Saccharomyces cerevisiae S288C: one gene and its partners. Each later gene encodes a partner of the first gene's protein in a complex. Each region holds a gene or a part of one and is shown on either strand. Other genes may lie near its edges. A codon is read from its position in the direction of its gene.

Region 1 (5,626 bases):
TGTAGTTGCTTGATAGTTGTTTGTAATTATAGTCGTACGTGTGGTATAGTATGCCATCATATATACTTATACATACATACATATATATATATATATATATATGTGTGTGCTCGAAATTATTGATTTGCGACTTCGTCGTAGTCATCGTCATCACTGACATCTATGTCACTTAGATCCTCGCTTAACTCATCTACGCTATCATCGCCACTGGAAACACCAGTGCCATCCATATCTTCATCAGAATCACTGTCCTCTTCTTGTAAATCACCGCCGCTATCACTGTCATCGCTATCATTATCTCCGCCAAACATTTGTTGGTACTTTTCCTTTGTAGCATACTTGTCTATATACTCTTTGATTTTTTCCTCATACAGTTTTTTATCTCGTAATTGCAATGTGGCAGCTTCGTTATTCAAGGGATCGCTACCATTAGGCTCCTTTAATAAACCTGGTATCATCCACTCCACTATATTTATCAGATCATATAAAGGCGACCATGTAGAGTTAATTACGTCCAAACATATGGACCCCGATGCGATATCAATGTTAGGATGGAATATCTTGTTAACGAACCCTATGCTTGGCGACTTGTATGGGTAATTATCCGGCAACTCTACATGTAACCTCCAAACCCCATTTTCGTAGGGTGTATCCTTTGGTCCCAAGAACTTTACATGAAACTCTTGCATGCTATCATTGATTAAATCCACTTGATGATCACTCATCAACAGTTTCATAACATCTGTCTCGATCCTTCTTTTAGAGCTACTGTTTCATTAAACGATATCTTTGAAGTTCATTGACATTTTCTTTGTTAGTGATCCTCATTCTATGGCATACTTTCTCAGAAGAGTGATATATAAATATACGTATATATCTTATCAAACATACCTCATCTTTCGTATTACGCTCCTTTCTTCCAATATTCCTTATGAAATACTATTAATATTTTGCTCTTACTTCTAAATTATATTCGAAAACTATCTCGCTTGATAATTACGGATTACACTATTTATCAAATGTGGCAGAACTGGAAATCCTACCTATGCTTTACGTTAGTGATACTTAAGCGCAGATAGCTGTTTCCGGTGCTCACCCTTTTTTTTTTTAATTCCACTGCTCCGGGAGCATTACCCGGTGGACGAAGCTCAACCTACTATTATTAAATAAGAAAACGTAAGAATGTATATTTACGCAGATGTGCACACGAGCATTGAAACAAGGATTAATGTGCCACTGATAGAATTCAGACTGCTGTGTGATTAAGAGGAAAACAAATTATCGTGAAGAATCGTTGATTCGCCTTTATATATTCTTGTATTCTTTAAGAGACATGCATTGCGATAATTTCCCCATGATATTCTTAACCTTATGAAGGGTCAGTCTACTGGAAGGTGCATGAAATATGAGTGAACGTATTTTCATTAGCAGATGAGAGACACCGGGATTAAAAAAACTATGTGAAGAATAGTGTTGATATATGATAAAATTATTGTGGAAATCAATAATTAAGAGGTTTTATAGTGTAGTGGTTATCACTTTCGGTTTTGATCCGAACAACCCCGGTTCGAATCCGGGTAAGACCTATTTTTTTCCCCCGCTCAGCTAACTTGTATTTTTAATAGATCTCCCACCATCAGAGGACGAAGAGAGAACTGTATTATCAATTGTGTTTTATTACAATATATTCTAAAAACGAAGATATAGATGTTATCTAGAATTGGTTTTTGTATGTAGCCCTTCTCTCCCGCTTTCTCACTTTTTGAACATTACCTCACTACAGTTGCCATTCAACAATGTAACGAACATTATCCGTAGGTAAAATTTACGACACTTCAAACTTCTAGAAGGAAATAGGCATATACTACGGAACAAAGACAGCCTCTTATTCGTTTTTAAGTTTTTTCTTCTTTTATTAACAAAAAAAAAAATAAAATAAAAAAAATCAATTGAAATTAGAATAGAGTAGAGTAGGTAGAAGTAATATGATGTAAAAAAAGGAAACAAAGATTAAAAAGATGGAAGAAATGGAGAGAAAGAAAATAAAACTTCTGAGAAGAAAATTTTGATAAAAATTATAATGCCTAGTCCCGCTTTTGAAGAAAATCAATGTAAAAATTGTAAAATCTGTTGAGTAATATTATACAATTCCAAACTTGCATCCTCTACAGGTTGATGTTCAGATCCTGTGTCATTGTTATTACTGTTGTTATCATTCGAGCTTGGATTGTTGTTGCTCCCCGGATTTTTAACATCAATTCCTGATCTTTGTAAACGCTCAAAGGTCACATCTGCCATTTTTCTCACTCCGTTAATGATGTCGTCATCATTTTTAACCAAATCTTCCACTTTATCATTATGACTTTCTAGCAATTGTAAAATTGTCCATAGCGCAATGTGTTCAAAGGTAGCATAGTCACTTTTCAAAAATCTAATCAGAAATCCACGAATGCCTTCATTCGGACGATCCCATGCTTCAATAATTTTTGTATAATTATTCACTCTTGAACATAGATTTGCCAAAGCAGCAGCAGCATTACCAGAAACTTCTTGGTTCTGGGAAAAAGTCATAGGGATTAAAGCATCTAAGATATTTGCTTCCAGTAGATCCAATTTGGAGACATCTGCTAGGGCTAAAATAGCAAAACATGCGGAAATTTCACTTTGAACACTAACAGGTGAATCTAGAGCCAGTTCCTTACATTTTTCGACAGCACCACTTTCGAAGAACTCTTTTCTGTTTTTTTCAGATGATGCAGCCAAATTTCTCAAAGTAGATACGGCGTGACATTGAATTTCTTCTGAATCCTTATAGTCCAACAATCTTACTAATGGTTTTAAGAAACCTGCATCAACAATTAAACCTTCATTTAGAGGGTGAATAGAAATGTTTCTAATGCATGCCACACTAGCCAAAACCAGTGGTATAGAATCACTTTGAATCAACTTTACCAAATGAGGCAACCCACCAGCCCTTACAATTTCTAATTGGTAGCTTGTATCGGACGCTAGGTTTCGTAAAGCCAAAGTAGCTTGACATTTTACCCTTGAAGATGGAGAATCCATCAGACTAACCAATTTGGAAACCAATCTTGGCTCAGTTTGAGCCAACTTCTTGCGATTGGCTTCATCCACTGCTATATTTGATAAAGCAGTAGTACAATAGTACTGAACATCAGGATCGGTGGACGACAGTAAAGATACCAATACAGGCACAGCACCTGCATTAACCAATTCTTTTCTATTTTCCTCAGAATGTGTCATATTTAATAATGCACCTGTAGCATTTCTCTGAACTCTTATATGTTTGGATTTAGCTAGCTTAGTCAATGGAATTAAAGCACCAGAAGTAGCAATCTTATGTTTATTGTCATCCCTTGTGGCTAAATTGGTAATGCATCCAACAGCATTACATTGAACTTCTACATTGTCACCCATCATTTGGTTTATTAATGGCTCTAAGCCTCCCATTTCCACAATTAATAATTTATTTTCATTATTAACGGCCAAATTACCCAAGGCTGCACAAGCGGCCACTTGAATCTGTGGATCTTGGCTTTGTAATAATATTAAGATGGGTTCCAGTACCTCTCTAGAGACCTGACGGACGTATTTTTCAGTAATTTCTGCGAATGCCAGAGCGGCGCTCCTTTGCAAATTTAGATTATCTGAATACACCAAAGTAGTTAGGGCCTTTAGTGGACCACCAGAGTAAAAGTCTAATTGGTCTTTATCCTCCAAATACCCTAGTAATAAAGTCACCGCTTCTCTTTCATTATCGGCAATTGGTGAGACACTGGCCTCGTCTGAAGAATCTTTCAAGCAACTACAACATGAACCCATAGTTGCAAATGTATATATAGTACAGAAGAAAGAACACCCTTATAGTTTGCTCAGTTCCTGTCTTCGTAGGATTGGAAATTGGCTAATTGCTTTTTATAGGGTTGTATAAATATATAATACCTTATTTTAACAACAAAAGGAAAAGTAGGAGATTGAACAGCGAGTCAACAAAAAAAAACAGAAAGCAAAGCAGACTCACACAAAAATTTGATCACAATGACAGCACTATTCTGCCTTGAATTGAGAACTAATATATTTCTAATAATGAATGATTGTATTATTATCAATTACTGGAAAGGGTTCATTTTTTCTTTCCACTCGTATTTTTTTCCTTTTCGTTTTGAGTCCTCCTTAAGGGCTCATTACCCGGGAAAGAGAAATTATTCAGATTTTTCTGTTATACCGTTACCTTATTATATAGATGTTCGCAGTTTTCATATTTGTGAGAGCCAACACATTATTGCATTACCGCTACAGATCCCACTTCCTTACCGTATGCTTATACGTATGTATCCAGTTTAGGCTAAAGTAATTCTTGGTTTACAAATCTAATAGCAGGGACCCGTCAGTGACGAAAAGATCACAGTTTTGGAACTTACGCAAAGAAGTTCTCTGTGAATAGGCGCCCTGTGGTATACCTATATCAATCAAAACAGCATCTTCTAGACTTGGCAAATTTGCAATTAAGTTGTTGATGGCAATCAAAGGCCAGCCAGAACAAATAATTCCTGTTGCTTCAATCCTGTCTGAAAAGAAAATATCTGGCATGCCGGATCCCGCATCAAACCCATTTGGAATATCCAAAGACCACACTTTAGTAGATCCTCGCTGTTTGTTACACCATGATATCATGCTTTTAATTCTGCTTTCAATAACTTCCGACGTCCCCGCCAGATCGCTCAATGTACAGTCATATCCCTGCATGGCATCGATGACTATTTCTACAGGGCTATTTAATGTTTCCATAGCAGATTCCAGCGACGATACACTATTAACAATTTTTCCGCCACACTTCTTGTAAATATCTGTTTGCTTTTTGACCATGGAATCCTGTAGTTCATTTTGAGAACATGTAAATAATGTTATGACACGGATATGCCCCGTTTGGCAAAGATGTCTACCCAACGCCAGAGCTTTCGCACCAGATCTGTTGGAATCTGAGGCTAGTATTACTACTAAAGGTTCCGGATTAGAATTTTGTAAACGTAAACGTGCACGGCCACCTAGTTTCTGCTTTAAGAAGAACGATGCGTTTACAGCAAAATTTTCTAGTAGCCCTGCCGAGTTAATACTGAAAAATTCGGACGTGATGCTCTCCATTTCTAGTAGTTGTACTGGTGTAGCCATAGGAATGTTCTGCTTAGTGTTCTTTGATCTGATGGTTGTTTGTTTATTTGCAGCTGGCAAGGATGTTGAGTTGGATCTTGACTGGCTGATGATCATCTGGCCTAATTTAGCTAGTACCTGATCCTTATCATTTATAACTGTACCTTTCGTTTTATCATTTATGGATGGAGAGTTAGTTGCAGAGTGAATTAAATGTGTAATATTCAAAGACTGAGTTATTGGTAGGTATTTGGGATCATCGATATCATCGACATCGTATTCATGTTCATCATCTTCCAAAACCAGATCATCTTGAGCATCTTGTTGCGGCTGAGATTGGTGTGTGCTTTGCTCATTTCTTGAAGAAATCTTGTTCCATGAATCTTTCTTTGCATCTGGAATAACCAATTCATCATTTTGATAATTATTTTGCTGCAATTGGGTTTGCTTTCTGTTA
Region 2 (4,015 bases), on another chromosome or scaffold:
GACATAAATGATAAGTTTAAAGAAGGTAACAAGACAGTCAAGATTCTAAAGTCTTACAAGACAGTGGGGAGTTCAAAAGCTTCTATCACATATATGGGGAAAACGAGAAAATTAATAGCACCAAAGAGGAAAACTGAAGGGAGCCACCGCTACCACCATGACCATCATAATAAAAAAATGAAAATGAAAACGAAAACAAAATCGAATAAACTTTTTGAAAGCGGACAAGATAGCTTTGATAATTAGTGGTTTTTTATCTTTTCCGAAGAAGTTGATTGAACTCCAGAAGCTGTCTTGAAGTAGTCGCATTAAAAAAGATGGCACCCGAGTCTAGGCCAAGCCATAGTCATGTTATGATAGGATTTTATAAGACAAATATTATAAAGAAGTTTAATAATAATACAAAAAGATACAAAAAAACTTGAAGATATTCTGAATAAAAAAAAAAAGAATAAACATTTGGAGCAAAAGAAGAGTAGGTTAGGTAAAGGAGGCATTAATTAAAACAGCAGTTCTGTATTCAAAGCATCTTGCAATTCTTCTATAGAGACGCTTATATCCATATTATTTTTTTGTTCCTGTGCTACATTATGATTTGATATTCGTTCTTCATTCATGCCCTTATTCTTTCTCCCCCTCTTACTTTGAAAAGATTCTGATATTGTGCTTAACGATGAATTAAACTTATCCATAAAAGATGCATGCTTAAGATTTGTGTTGTTCTCTTTTACCGTATGTGTATCTGATCGTGCAATGAATGATGATAACAACGCCTTAGAACTTGAAATACGAGGACCATTACGACTAGGAGCCATTGTCGCTGCAACAGTTGGATGACAGTTCACTTGGACATTTGATATCGAAGTTCCAAACGTCGGATTAGATGGCCTGAAGAATGAGGCGGAGAAACTTCCCAGATTGAGCGACTTAGAAGGTGCTGGTTTGTTAGATAGTATACTTTCGTGAGAGTTATATCTCCTTAAAGGTTCGAATTCAGCACCCTTTGCGGTCACACCAACATGTGGAGGGGTACTTATGTTTGGTAGAATGATAGTATCTTGATCAGAATCAAAATCTTCATCATCCATTTCATCAAAGAAGGTCAACGAAAGTCTTTGTCTATTTTTGAAGAAAGACTCATACGTATCCGAGGAAGACGGTTTCTTACTTTTGTTCAAGCCAGTATCATGTGATTTGGCTGCACGTAAAGTGCGATTTCTTGCAGGTTGTTTTTTAGGTGAGCACGGTAAAGAGTTAGTTTTCGAAGGACAATCGACTTCATTGATGGGGTTAAAGCCTACCGATTTTTTTGGTGGTTTCGATGGAGTTACCATACACAGACGTTGCCTCTCAATTATTTTCAATGGTCGAGGTTGAAATGACCCTAAACTACTTCTGGTGGATTGCGATTGTGGAGAATCATTAGGCGCTTCATTTGGGACGGTGGCCAGCTCGTTCAACCTCAAAGTGATATCCTGGAATTCACGAACCAAGTCTTCTATGCGTTGATGCTCATTATCCTCTGTGATCAATCTGCGTTGTTGTTCCTTGCTCAACTTGTCTCGAACAGATTCCGATCTAACATACAAAGAGTTCAGTTGAGACATATACTGGTTGTACTGTTGGGATAACTTATCCAATGACTCTTGATCTGTTGTCTGGCATATTGATGATCTCTGCTGACGTTGTATCCACAGATCTAATTGCAAGATAGCCTCTTGCGACCTTATTAAAAGCCTCTCCGTGATATCCTCTAGGGCTTGGGTTGCCATTAATCGATGTGTCCTTGTTTCCTTATGCGAGCTGTTTCTTATCTATCTTATGGTCCCATTCTTTACTGCACTGTTTACATTTTGATCAATTGCGAAATGTTCCTACTATTTTTCTTTTTCTCTTTTCGCGAGTACTAATCACCGCGAACGGAAACTAATGAGTCCTCTGCGCGGAGACATGATTCCGCATGGGCGGCTCCTGTTAAGCCCCAGCGGAAATGTAATTCCACTGAGTGTCATTAAATAGTGCCAAAGCTTTATCAAATTGTTTGCGATGAGATAAGATAAAAGGGACAATATGAGGAGGAACACAGGTATATAAATATCGCCAAATAAAAGGAAAATGTTTATACAGTTTTCTCTTTTTTAAGTGCTGGATAGACAAGAGACAGGAAAATTAACCAGCGAGATGTCGATAGTCTACAATAAAACACCATTATTACGTCAATTCTTCCCCGGAAAGGCTTCTGCACAATTTTTCTTGAAATATGAATGCCTTCAACCAAGTGGCTCCTTCAAAAGTAGAGGAATCGGTAATCTCATCATGAAAAGTGCCATTCGAATTCAAAAGGACGGTAAAAGATCTCCTCAGGTTTTCGCTAGTTCTGGCGGTAATGCCGGTTTTGCTGCTGCAACAGCATGTCAAAGACTGTCTCTACCATGTACAGTCGTGGTTCCTACAGCGACAAAGAAGAGAATGGTAGATAAAATCAGGAACACCGGTGCCCAGGTTATCGTGAGTGGTGCCTACTGGAAAGAAGCAGATACTTTTTTAAAAACAAATGTCATGAATAAAATAGACTCTCAGGTCATTGAGCCCATTTATGTTCATCCCTTCGATAATCCGGATATTTGGGAAGGACATTCATCTATGATAGATGAAATAGTACAAGATTTGAAATCGCAACATATTTCCGTGAATAAGGTTAAAGGCATAGTATGCAGCGTTGGTGGAGGTGGTTTATACAATGGTATTATTCAAGGTTTGGAAAGGTATGGTTTAGCTGATAGGATCCCTATTGTGGGGGTGGAAACGAATGGATGTCATGTTTTCAATACTTCTTTGAAAATAGGCCAACCAGTTCAATTCAAGAAGATAACAAGTATTGCTACTTCTCTAGGAACGGCCGTGATCTCTAATCAAACTTTCGAATACGCTCGCAAATACAACACCAGATCCGTTGTAATAGAGGACAAAGATGTTATTGAAACCTGTCTTAAATATACACATCAATTCAATATGGTGATTGAACCGGCATGTGGCGCCGCATTGCATTTGGGTTACAACACTAAGATCCTAGAAAATGCACTGGGCTCAAAATTAGCTGCGGATGACATTGTGATAATTATTGCTTGTGGCGGCTCCTCTAATACTATAAAGGACTTGGAAGAAGCGTTGGATAGCATGAGAAAAAAAGACACTCCTGTAATAGAAGTCGCTGACAATTTCATATTTCCAGAAAAAAATATTGTGAATTTAAAAAGTGCTTGAAAATCCAATAACTTTTTCGTTGAAGCATCAATTTGCCCTTGATAATTTTCATACATGTACTACATACATTTTACTCATATATCACTATTTTGCTAGTATTGATTTTTTCCAGAAGTATTAGTGTAAGATTTCTCGAAGTAAGCATCAACATATCCAAAACGTTGACATATTTCTAGGCCGGCAATGCACAGAATTTGTATAAAGGGGGACATGCTGCAGAAATTTGCTCAAAATTATCCATGAAAGAAGTACCAATGAAGCACTAGCCTGTTCAAATTCACTTGATACTCGAGCATAAAGCATAAACTACTGCTTTTTAACTTATAATTTCTACCTCTAACACTCAGTGCAGTCTGTAATAAAACACACCAGATATCGTTCTATTAGTAATATAATTATGCTTCTCACGTCAAATTTACTAGCTCGAGAGTTAGTTAATCCTTACTAAGTGAAGAAAAGCAACTATAGTCATAGCAAACATAACATAACATAACATAAAATATAGGTTGTACTTTGTCAATAGAAATACAATCCTATGTATTCCTATAGATTTATAAGAATGTGTTCCGTAATAATCTTCCCAGCTGGTAACATCTAAGGTATTTATATTTTGCCGACATTTGCAGCTCTTTCATCAATAATCATTTTATACCTCTAACTTAGAATGTTTCAGCTTGAATCTTAATCATATATTACAGTAAAGCCCCTCGTTTGTATAAATACCGTAACTCTTTAGTATAAAAATGTAAGA
Region 3 (8,413 bases), on another chromosome or scaffold:
ACTCCAGTCCTCAAAGGAACCATCTGGTAAATATCTTCTAATAACCAAAGGAATTTTCTTTTCAGCCAACTCCTTCATGGCAATACGCAATGGATCAGTTTCACCTTCTAAATCTACAAAAACTGGCGCATTCATGGAAATTTGTAGGGCTCTTGTACCTAAAATTCTTGCCCTTTCATATTTGGTCATGTATGGAGTAGTTGCTCTTTGGTCTTTTGGGATGGCCTTTTCCTTAAGTGTCTTTCTTCTTATTTGCTCATGCTGTTGAAAATCTTCTGGGCCATTACCACCAGTAACGATGGTCTTACCGTTGGCATCGGTTGTTTCACCATCCTTGAATTGAGGTTTTTCCTCATAAGTCTCCTCATCAGAAAAATGCTCTACATCAAAATCTTCGAAGTTCTCATTACCGTCGTTAAACCTGTATCACAATGATAGAAGTTAGTAAATATAATTAAAACTAAAGCACGCAATTTCTCCAATATGAATGCACATACGCCTCCTCGTAGTCTGACATGATCACTTGTAGCCTTAATCTTTACACTGTTACCTGCAAAATGTGTCTTTTTAGCCTTTCTTCAAGGTTGTGATTGATGCCTTTGAATGATATTCTTAAAAAAAAAAAAATTTTTTTTTCAATTAAATATCATACTATACGAATAATCAATATACAATGATTATTTATTATAAGAAGAACTAACTATCAAATAAGGGCATTAAGCACAGTAGTAACTGTTGAAATCGCTGTCAAATGGGAGGAGAGGTTCTAAATAATGAAGGAATGCCACTGGCCGAACTTAAACAGGAGACCATTCCCATATCACGATCAGAGAGTTCAGAATCATTGAACAGTTTAACATCAACTAGAAGCTCATCGAGCAATAGGCCAAAGACATATTTCTGTGACTATGATGGCTGTGATAAGGCATTTACAAGACCTTCAATTTTGACTGAACACCAATTAAGCGTACATCAGGGTTTAAGAGCATTTCAGTGTGATAAGTGTGCAAAATCCTTCGTTAAAAAGAGTCACTTAGAGAGACACTTGTATACGCATTCTGATACGAAACCATTCCAATGTTCTTATTGTGGAAAAGGAGTGACGACTCGCCAGCAACTGAAGCGACACGAAGTAACGCATACCAAATCTTTCATTTGTCCAGAGGAAGGATGCAACCTCCGATTCTACAAGCATCCACAATTAAGGGCACATATTTTATCTGTTCATTTACATAAACTAACCTGTCCACACTGCAATAAAAGCTTTCAGAGGCCATATAGGCTAAGAAATCACATTTCTAAACATCACGATCCTGAGGTAGAAAATCCTTACCAATGTACTTTTGCTGGTTGTTGCAAAGAGTTTCGGATATGGTCACAATTGCAATCGCATATAAAAAATGATCATCCTAAATTAAAATGTCCTATTTGTAGCAAACCATGTGTGGGGGAAAATGGTTTACAAATGCACATGATTATTCATGACGACTCACTAGTAACCAAAAATTGGAAGTGTCATATATGTCCTGATATGTCTTTTTCTAGAAAACATGATCTTCTCACGCATTATGGGTCTATTCATACGGAAGAAGATATCCCACTGGAACTAAAATATAAAATTTCTGATATTCAACAACTTGTCCAAGACCACGGAGTTCAACTGGGGAATAGCAAACACTCGAATGAGCAGGATGAAGAGAAGATTTCCAATAGGTTGAGGAAAAGGAGAAAACTTACCGAAAACAATAATGTAGAGTTTTTACAGAATGAAGTGGATTTAGAAAAGCGACTTGAGTCTGGTGAAAATGGGCTAAACCTTTTATTGAATACCGTTGGAAGAAAATACAGATGCTTTTACAATAATTGTTCTAGGACTTTCAAGACAAAGGAAAAATACGAGAAACATATAGACAAGCACAAAGTACATGAGCTAAAGTTAAAAATATTACAGGAAAAGGAAGAAAATAAAACGCTAGTGGACCAGAACCATAAGGAACCTTTTATAATTCAAAAGGAAACGCAGTCAGCGGGTGACAAATAAGCATTTTTTTTTTTTATTTTATATGCTAATTATATTACTGATATACATATTTGCCATTTTGTTACTGCAATTGGTATATCTCACTGTATATAATTATATATTCAATTCAAATGATAGACACATGGATCTTCAAGAGGTAAGAATATCGATAACAAAGAGAAACAAATCCATTATGGCTAATCTTTTTTATTTCAGTTTACTAGTATTGTATTTTTTTTTCTTTTCTTGCATATCTATTTCACCTTTTTTTTGATTATTTTTCTTTAGTTGTGCCCTTTAAAATAAAACTTTACCATTTTTAACCTTCTTTAGAAAGGTTCATATCACTCATGAAAAATACTAGATCATCATCTTGATCATCCTCGTCATTATGCATCACACCAACTGCATCATTCCCATTATGATTGTTATTGTTACTATTACTCCTATTACCATTATCGATTAACTTATTTGCAGGTTTATGAAATTTCGCCTGAGCTTGAAAGGGCGCAGTAGTTGGTTGAGAGTAATGGTATGGTTGTCTGATAGGTATCCTACTTTTTATGAAAGAACTTGAAATGCTATCAATTGATCTTGGAGATATTGAACTTTTGAATTTTGTAGCACTGTTTCCCATTTGGTTGAGCAAACGGTCATTCTCGTCATCATCATCTTCTTCTACTCCTAATTGGTTGTACTTTTGTATTTTGTTGTCGTGGTGATATGAAGTACTCTCTCCACCAAAAATAGGAGGTAAGCCTGACATACCCTGCTTGTTTGAGCTCTTATCTAAAGAATTCCTTCTACTATTCAAGGCACTAGTAGATGAATTCCCACCGCCTCTTGCAATCAAATGGCTTGCATTGGCGCCTTGAGACATTCTCGAGTTCAACGATCCATAATGCATCGAAGGGGATATTGAAGGCAATGGTGAGTGGGAATCTGATCTGCCTCTGTGATATGTATGATTTGGATCCATGGATAAACTTACGGATAAATCTTCACTTAATAAGTCATTACTTGGCTTCAAATTCTGATATCTGATTAGAGAATCAGAAATATTGATATTGGGTGGATTATTTCCACTTGTCTTCTTTATAGTTAGATCGGGTTTTTCTTCGAGTAATTTAACAAAATCCATTAAATCTTCTTGTGATTCTTGAGGTTGTAGTGGGCTCTTTACAGCTTTTGATACTTTTTCAGCATTCTCTGTCGTCTTTACACTTGAGTGACGACGAATGTTCCCAAAGGAGGAGGAATACTTTGAGGTGCTTCCAACACTGGTACCTTCAATATTCATTTGTGGCCCGTAGTTGGAGCTCATACTTGGCCTATGAACAGGTGGTTGGTTGAAAAACGATGAATTAGAGGGATTTCTGCTCGCACTTTGACTTCCAATTGAACCAACTTTAAATGGTTGAACAGGTCTCGATATTGGATAGACTTTCTTCTGCCAAGATTGTGGTTCAAAAGAATTGGCTCTTGTACAAGGAGAAAGTGAAAGAGATCTCCTATCAGGTATCTGTCTTTGTTGTTGTGTCTGGACCTGGTGTTGTCTCTGTTGCTGTTGCTGCTGCTGCTGCTGCTGTTGGGGCTGCTGCTGCTGTTGAAATTGTGGTTGGCGTTTCCCTATGTCTTGATCACTTTGTCCTTCTTGTTCTGGCTGATTCTGGGGTCCTTGTGAGTTATGTGAGACAGATGCATGTCGAGCTGAAAATAATTCGTCGTTTGTATTGTTAATTTCAAACTTCCAATCACGTCTGTATGATACCGAGACTCTTAAGAGTCCAAACTTTGTCCATACAGGTGTGATCTTCTTTTGATCTAAATGGGCTGGCAGGTTTGATTCGTTAAGCGCATTGGAATATGTATTAATAATCGGTTTGCTCAACCCTATTCTCCCCTTCGATAAAATTGGTTTAGATCCGTCAAGGACACACGTCCGGATACTTACTAGTGGGCCCGTGGAAGTTATTGGATTGGAACTTCCTTCATTTTGCGGGCCGTTATAAGACTTTATTAATAATTGGTATAATTCTGTTGTGGGTAGTAACTGTATTAAAGTCAACAAATAACGGAAGAGAAGGACTAGCTGTTTAGAAAGTTCATTAACATCAGTCTCATCTTCACTGTATGATTTGAAAGTTGGGGATGAATTATCTAATTCGATAAGCCAACGTTCCATCACGATTTCCTGCTTCTTAGTTCCTTTGCAAACGTTCCACAAATGGCCTTCGTGGTCCTTTAATCTAACTAAATGAGACGAGTTTAACTGTCTTAAATCCAAATATGTCTCTACCACTAAGGGTGGCAACTCTTTTCGACCATCGTAGTGAGACCATTTTGATATTATCTCGGGTAGCTCACTCACTAATTCTGAGTGATCTTCAAACCATGTGTCGTCAAATAGGAATATATTTTCTGTAGAAGACTGGTATCGACTTGATTCGGTGGAGCATATTAGTAGTGTAGTCTTCAGAAAAAAGCTGTCTATCAATTGAAGGACTTGCTTCTCGATGTCCTCTTCGGCAACCATGACTCATGCTATTCAACCGGGCTGTATGTTCTGCTTTCTTTTCAAGACTTGAGCCTGGAAGGTGTAAGTGGAATGTATTTGGTACCTATGAATTCGTTCTATATCTATGTGAGGTAACGAAAATCTATACACCCTTGTTTCTACTTCTCGCCTCTTTCTGTAACTGCCGCTGCTCACTTAGTTAAAAACTTAGATCTTAGCGAATTAAACAAAACAACAAAGATATCGAATTGATTGTAACACGCAAACGGCTCACTCCGGTTCAAATACGTACGTGGCAACCCTTTCACCTCTTGCTCTGACGCGTTTTGTCCCCCTTGGTTGGTGCTGTCCTTCACTTTCACGTGTGTTCCCTTTATTTCTTTTATTTTCGTTTTCGCTCTCGCTCCTCAAAACGATAATACATATACAAAAATATACGATTTTTATTTGTTTTATTATCAATAGAGATAGGGAGGTAAAAATATGTAAATATATATATATGTATATATAGTTGAACAGAAATAAAAGTATTAGCGGGTGGCAAAAAGGGACCGTTCAATTAATTTATGCTTTAGCTATTTTCAGGAATCATCTTCGTAGGCATCCCATAAATCATAAAATAGATCTAACAAACAAGCAGAACTCCAGGCTTGCGTGGGGCTTGAGTCATTGCATACTTCACCATCTTTATTGGTTAGCTCTGTCAATCCTGCCCACACACTTTCAAAAATCCATTTTCTATGGCCTTTTAATCTGTAGTATAATTGTTGATACAAATAAGAGGATGGTTTCTCTTTGGCAGCATTCTGACAACGTGGACTGGTTTTAAAGTGGAAATGATGGAACGCTCTTAAAAAGTAGCCGTAAAGCCAGACCCACTCAGGGCCTTGGTGATAGTTTCTACCCTTTGAGGTGGCAAAATCATCCGAATCTTCTCCGTTGTTGTAGTACGGACGGTAATTGTAATCGCTTGGGTCTAAAGTACGCATACCTACTGGACCTCTTAAGACTTCATCTGCAATGGTGATTGCTTTTATGGCATGCTCAGGCACAAATAACTCTGGTGCCACAGTCATGGCAATAGCAAAATTTGGTCTTAACTGATAATCTTCATAAGGCTTTCCTGATTTGTACAAATCTCTGTATATCCCCCGTCTATTAACACCCAATTTAGCGCTCACGTCATAATCTGCATCCTGTGATGGATCCTCCGGAACATAATATCTTTTTTCGAAATTGTCTTGAAGTAATTGATTCCATTCAGTGAAATCGATCCTCCCGCCGTCCTGCGTCTCCACATCGGAAAACTTAAACAATCCCTTGTTTTTTAGTTCAATAACAAACCTTAAAGCACTTTTTAAAAGCCCATTGATTTCTATTGCGGCTCCATCTCTGGGTGTTCCAGGAATACCAACAGACCCTGCTTTTTCACTTTCACCCATCTTATCCATCCAAGTACCACAGTTATACTGAGATCCACCATGAATTAAGCCAGTCGACCAATCGACATGAATTTCAACATTAAACCCTTTATCAGTCATAACACGATCTAAATTTGGACCTGCATTAGCCTCTCTGAATTTAATTCCCTTGGCATGCCTACTCAAAATTTCATAAATGATCTCCTCCAAGGTACTAGAGTAACTAAATGCCCTTGGATCATCTACAGGAATGTAAGTATCATCCAGTGGGAATCTCCTTGTTACTTGCTCTTGTAATATTTTTTCGCCATCAGGAACAATATAAACATAATCCTGTACAGCTTGCAAGAAGAACCAGGCAGCATCACGAGCATTATATCTCGGGTTTCTACCGGCATCCAGCAAGTTTGGAATTAAACCATGCTTCAAAGTCTTTGCAAAGGCTAGTATATGAGCTTTAGCTTCATCAAATCTACCTGTTGTTAATAGCATACCTCTTAGCGATATGAATACATCTCTCCCCCAACATCTCATGTAGTTTACGCTAAAGTGTGGCAACCCTGCAGCCATAGATGGAACATTTTCGCCTGGTAAAATAGAGGTTGACTTCATTCTGGAAACCATCTGGATTGATGTCATAGATAAGCTTTGTACAAACAATGTAGATTTACCAATATTACGGGACATTAGCTGTATTGCTTTTAAGCGACAACAACCATAGAGGATGCCGATAATTAAGGCGAAATAACTGGGCACTAAGTAGCTCGGTAACTTTTTCACTCTATCAAACCTTGAACGCAGCCAGTTCTGCACTTCATTGATTCCTGCTTCATCGCTATAGTAATTAAGTCTACTGATAGTGTAGTCTAAAGCCCAATGTCCATTTCTTAAATTTGCACTGAGGGGATGTGCTAAATCATTGTAAAACACAATTTTTCTTAATACGGAAACCCAACCTTGCAGACCACAATACACAGGCTTTCCAAAATTAGGAATAATATAAGCACCACCTTCGCCGGCGCTAACATCGTATTCTTCCGGCTCACTACGATACAAGACGGAATTTATTGACTCTAGAGTCAAACTTGAAGTGGCCTTTAAAGCACCTGACCTTATAAAATGATCTAAGGATTCGTCCACACCATTCTGTTGGGTCTCAAAAATGGCAATAGATCCTTGAGGGAATTCATTGGGCAGTTTTATCGTTGAAATCTTCTTAGAATCATCATAAGAAATGTCAAACCCTTCAAGCTCCTTTAATTTCGTGGGAATACCTTTAATGAATTTATCGTCGTTGGGAATTTCATCGCCAACTCTTTCCAAAGCATACGAAAACCTGAGAGAACAGGTGGATTGGTTTAACACCACTGGTGGTAAAGTCTCGTTAGGGTCATCATTGTCAGAAAATTTCATCCTTGCTATCAAGTACCAACCTTTTCCGGATTTAACATCCATACGATGAAAAGTAATGTACTGGCCCTGGTGATGCACATGCATTTCTGAGTCTTCAATGTCATACGCCTTTTCTCCTATACTCGTTCTAATCGAATTCAAAGTGGCCTTGACTTTGGTTATTCCTATCGAGGGGCTACCAGTAGGCGTAGAAATGTCATAATGTCTTTTTTCAGTGACCAAATTCAGTAAATGTGGAAAAATTTCGTCGTAGCCATAAACAGATCCAATGGCGGACGAGCAAAGAGCCACCAATGCAGCATTGGGCAAAGTATCCTCCACTGTTCTTTTTTCAAAGGGAGTTTCATTATCATGGGTACAGTCCATGAATAAAGCGTGTGGCGGAGTGGCGGTTAAAATCTTTGGAATCATGATCTCTGATACACATCTTATGGAGTTATCGTTGGAGTCGTTGAAACAATGCTCCTCGTTTAAATTAATATCCGCAGGATATGAGAAGTCATCCATAGGAACAAACTTATAGGAGCCAATGGGCCTCCCGCCATGCTTATGGACTAATCTAGACAACTCTTCTTCGGACCAGGCTTGCATTGCCTCTCTGATTAAAGAGGAGATACCCAACCGTTCAACAAACAGACAATCTAGTGTTTCGGAACCAGAAAACAGCTCTGCAACGACATATAGGTTCGGGTTGTATTTTCTTGCCAAATCTAGGAAATATTCGCCAACATGTATTGGAGTAGAATGGCAGTTGTCAATTCTGAACCCGTCAAATATCTTGGCGTTCATTTCTATATACTTGGACATTCTTTCCCACAGATACGGAGAGTCTTCAGGGCTTTTACCGTATCTTAACTTGACACAGTCCCCCCACACGATAACTTCTCTACGTAAATAAGCTCTTGAATTCTGCGATGCAAAATCCACTAGTGGGTTACCATTCCATATCCAGCCATTGTTGGCGAGGGCATAATCAGTACCATCTTTTCCTTTGAACCTCGTAAAATAAGGCTCTGTTAAGGGCACGTCAACGGTCACTGG

The links.
Region 2: the proteins of VAC8 (region 1) and VAC17 are in contact, whole or in part, in a crystal structure (PDB 7YCJ), measured with the Saccharomyces cerevisiae proteins. Residues at the interface, in NP_010903.3 of Saccharomyces cerevisiae: Ile20 (codon at 3,786), Arg25 (codon at 3,771), Val28 (codon at 3,762), Thr29 (codon at 3,759), Leu31 (codon at 3,753), Leu32 (codon at 3,750), Leu35 (codon at 3,741), Glu36 (codon at 3,738), Leu55 (codon at 3,681), Asn60 (codon at 3,666), Asn62 (codon at 3,660), Leu63 (codon at 3,657), Arg65 (codon at 3,651), Ser66 (codon at 3,648), Leu69 (codon at 3,639), Ala70 (codon at 3,636), Glu73 (codon at 3,627), Thr151 (codon at 3,393), Ala154 (codon at 3,384), Thr155 (codon at 3,381), Lys160 (codon at 3,366), Gly189 (codon at 3,279), Leu192 (codon at 3,270), Asn193 (codon at 3,267), His196 (codon at 3,258), Arg201 (codon at 3,243), Tyr227 (codon at 3,165), Thr230 (codon at 3,156), Asn234 (codon at 3,144), Val237 (codon at 3,135); in NP_009870.1 of Saccharomyces cerevisiae: Pro296 (codon at 887), Ser297 (codon at 884), Asn298 (codon at 881), Pro299 (codon at 878), Thr300 (codon at 875), Phe301 (codon at 872), Gly302 (codon at 869), Thr303 (codon at 866), Ser304 (codon at 863), Ile305 (codon at 860), Ser306 (codon at 857), Asn307 (codon at 854), Val308 (codon at 851), Ser331 (codon at 782), Ser332 (codon at 779), Lys333 (codon at 776), Leu335 (codon at 770), Leu336 (codon at 767), Ser337 (codon at 764), Phe339 (codon at 758), Ile340 (codon at 755), Ala341 (codon at 752).
Region 3: the proteins of VAC8 (region 1) and ATG13 are in contact, whole or in part, in a crystal structure (PDB 6KBM), measured with the Saccharomyces cerevisiae proteins. Residues at the interface, in NP_010903.3 of Saccharomyces cerevisiae: Val103 (codon at 3,537), Ala107 (codon at 3,525), Gly110 (codon at 3,516), Asn111 (codon at 3,513), Cys144 (codon at 3,414), Asn145 (codon at 3,411), Gly148 (codon at 3,402), Cys149 (codon at 3,399), Thr151 (codon at 3,393), Asn152 (codon at 3,390), Thr155 (codon at 3,381), Lys160 (codon at 3,366), Arg182 (codon at 3,300), Asn186 (codon at 3,288), Gly189 (codon at 3,279), Leu192 (codon at 3,270), Asn193 (codon at 3,267), Thr195 (codon at 3,261), His196 (codon at 3,258), Arg201 (codon at 3,243), Tyr226 (codon at 3,168), Tyr227 (codon at 3,165), Thr230 (codon at 3,156), Ser233 (codon at 3,147), Asn234 (codon at 3,144), Val237 (codon at 3,135), Arg242 (codon at 3,120), Gln270 (codon at 3,036), Arg276 (codon at 3,018), Asn277 (codon at 3,015); in NP_015511.1 of Saccharomyces cerevisiae: Arg661 (codon at 2,576), Ile662 (codon at 2,573), Pro663 (codon at 2,570), Ile664 (codon at 2,567), Arg665 (codon at 2,564), Gln666 (codon at 2,561), His669 (codon at 2,552), Tyr670 (codon at 2,549), Ser671 (codon at 2,546), Gln672 (codon at 2,543), Pro673 (codon at 2,540), Thr674 (codon at 2,537), Thr675 (codon at 2,534), Ala676 (codon at 2,531), Phe678 (codon at 2,525), Gln679 (codon at 2,522), Ala680 (codon at 2,519), Gln681 (codon at 2,516), Ala682 (codon at 2,513), Lys683 (codon at 2,510), Phe684 (codon at 2,507), His685 (codon at 2,504).

What each region holds. Positions count from the first base shown.
Region 1 is NC_001137.3:127,042-132,667, reverse strand, and holds VAC8 (protein anchor VAC8), read right to left. Parts: upstream 3,844-5,626; coding exon 2,107-3,843; downstream 1-2,106. Other genes in the region: E2 ubiquitin-conjugating protein UBC8, read right to left, coding at 117-768, 892-896; YEL014C (uncharacterized protein), read left to right, coding at 4,060-4,365; EDC3 (Edc3p), read right to left, coding at 4,384-5,626. UniProt on the Saccharomyces cerevisiae protein: Functions in both vacuole inheritance and protein targeting from the cytoplasm to vacuole (cvt). Involved in the formation of nucleus-vacuole junctions (NVJs) during piecemeal microautophagy of the nucleus (PMN).
Region 2 is NC_001135.5:15,047-19,061, reverse strand, and holds VAC17 (Vac17p), read right to left. Parts: upstream 1,773-4,015; coding exon 501-1,772; downstream 1-500. Other genes in the region: chromatin-modulating protein MRC1, read left to right, coding at 1-246; L-serine/L-threonine ammonia-lyase CHA1, read left to right, coding at 2,182-3,264. UniProt on the Saccharomyces cerevisiae protein: Vacuole-specific MYO2 receptor required for vacuole inheritance. Binds simultaneously to MYO2 and to VAC8, a vacuolar membrane protein, forming a transport complex which moves the attached vacuole membrane along actin cables into the bud.
Region 3 is NC_001148.4:903,361-911,773, reverse strand, and holds ATG13 (serine/threonine protein kinase regulatory subunit ATG13), read right to left. Parts: upstream 4,557-8,413; coding exon 2,340-4,556; downstream 1-2,339. Other genes in the region: DNA-directed RNA polymerase core subunit RPO26, read right to left, coding at 1-421, 498-517; PZF1 (Pzf1p), read left to right, coding at 752-2,041; GDB1 (bifunctional 4-alpha-glucanotransferase/amylo-alpha-1,6-glucosidase), read right to left, coding at 5,120-8,413. UniProt on the Saccharomyces cerevisiae protein: Activates the ATG1 kinase in a nutritional condition dependent manner through the TOR pathway, leading to autophagy. Required for autophosphorylation of ATG1 at 'Thr-226' and its dimerization. May also be involved in the regulation of autophagy through SNF1.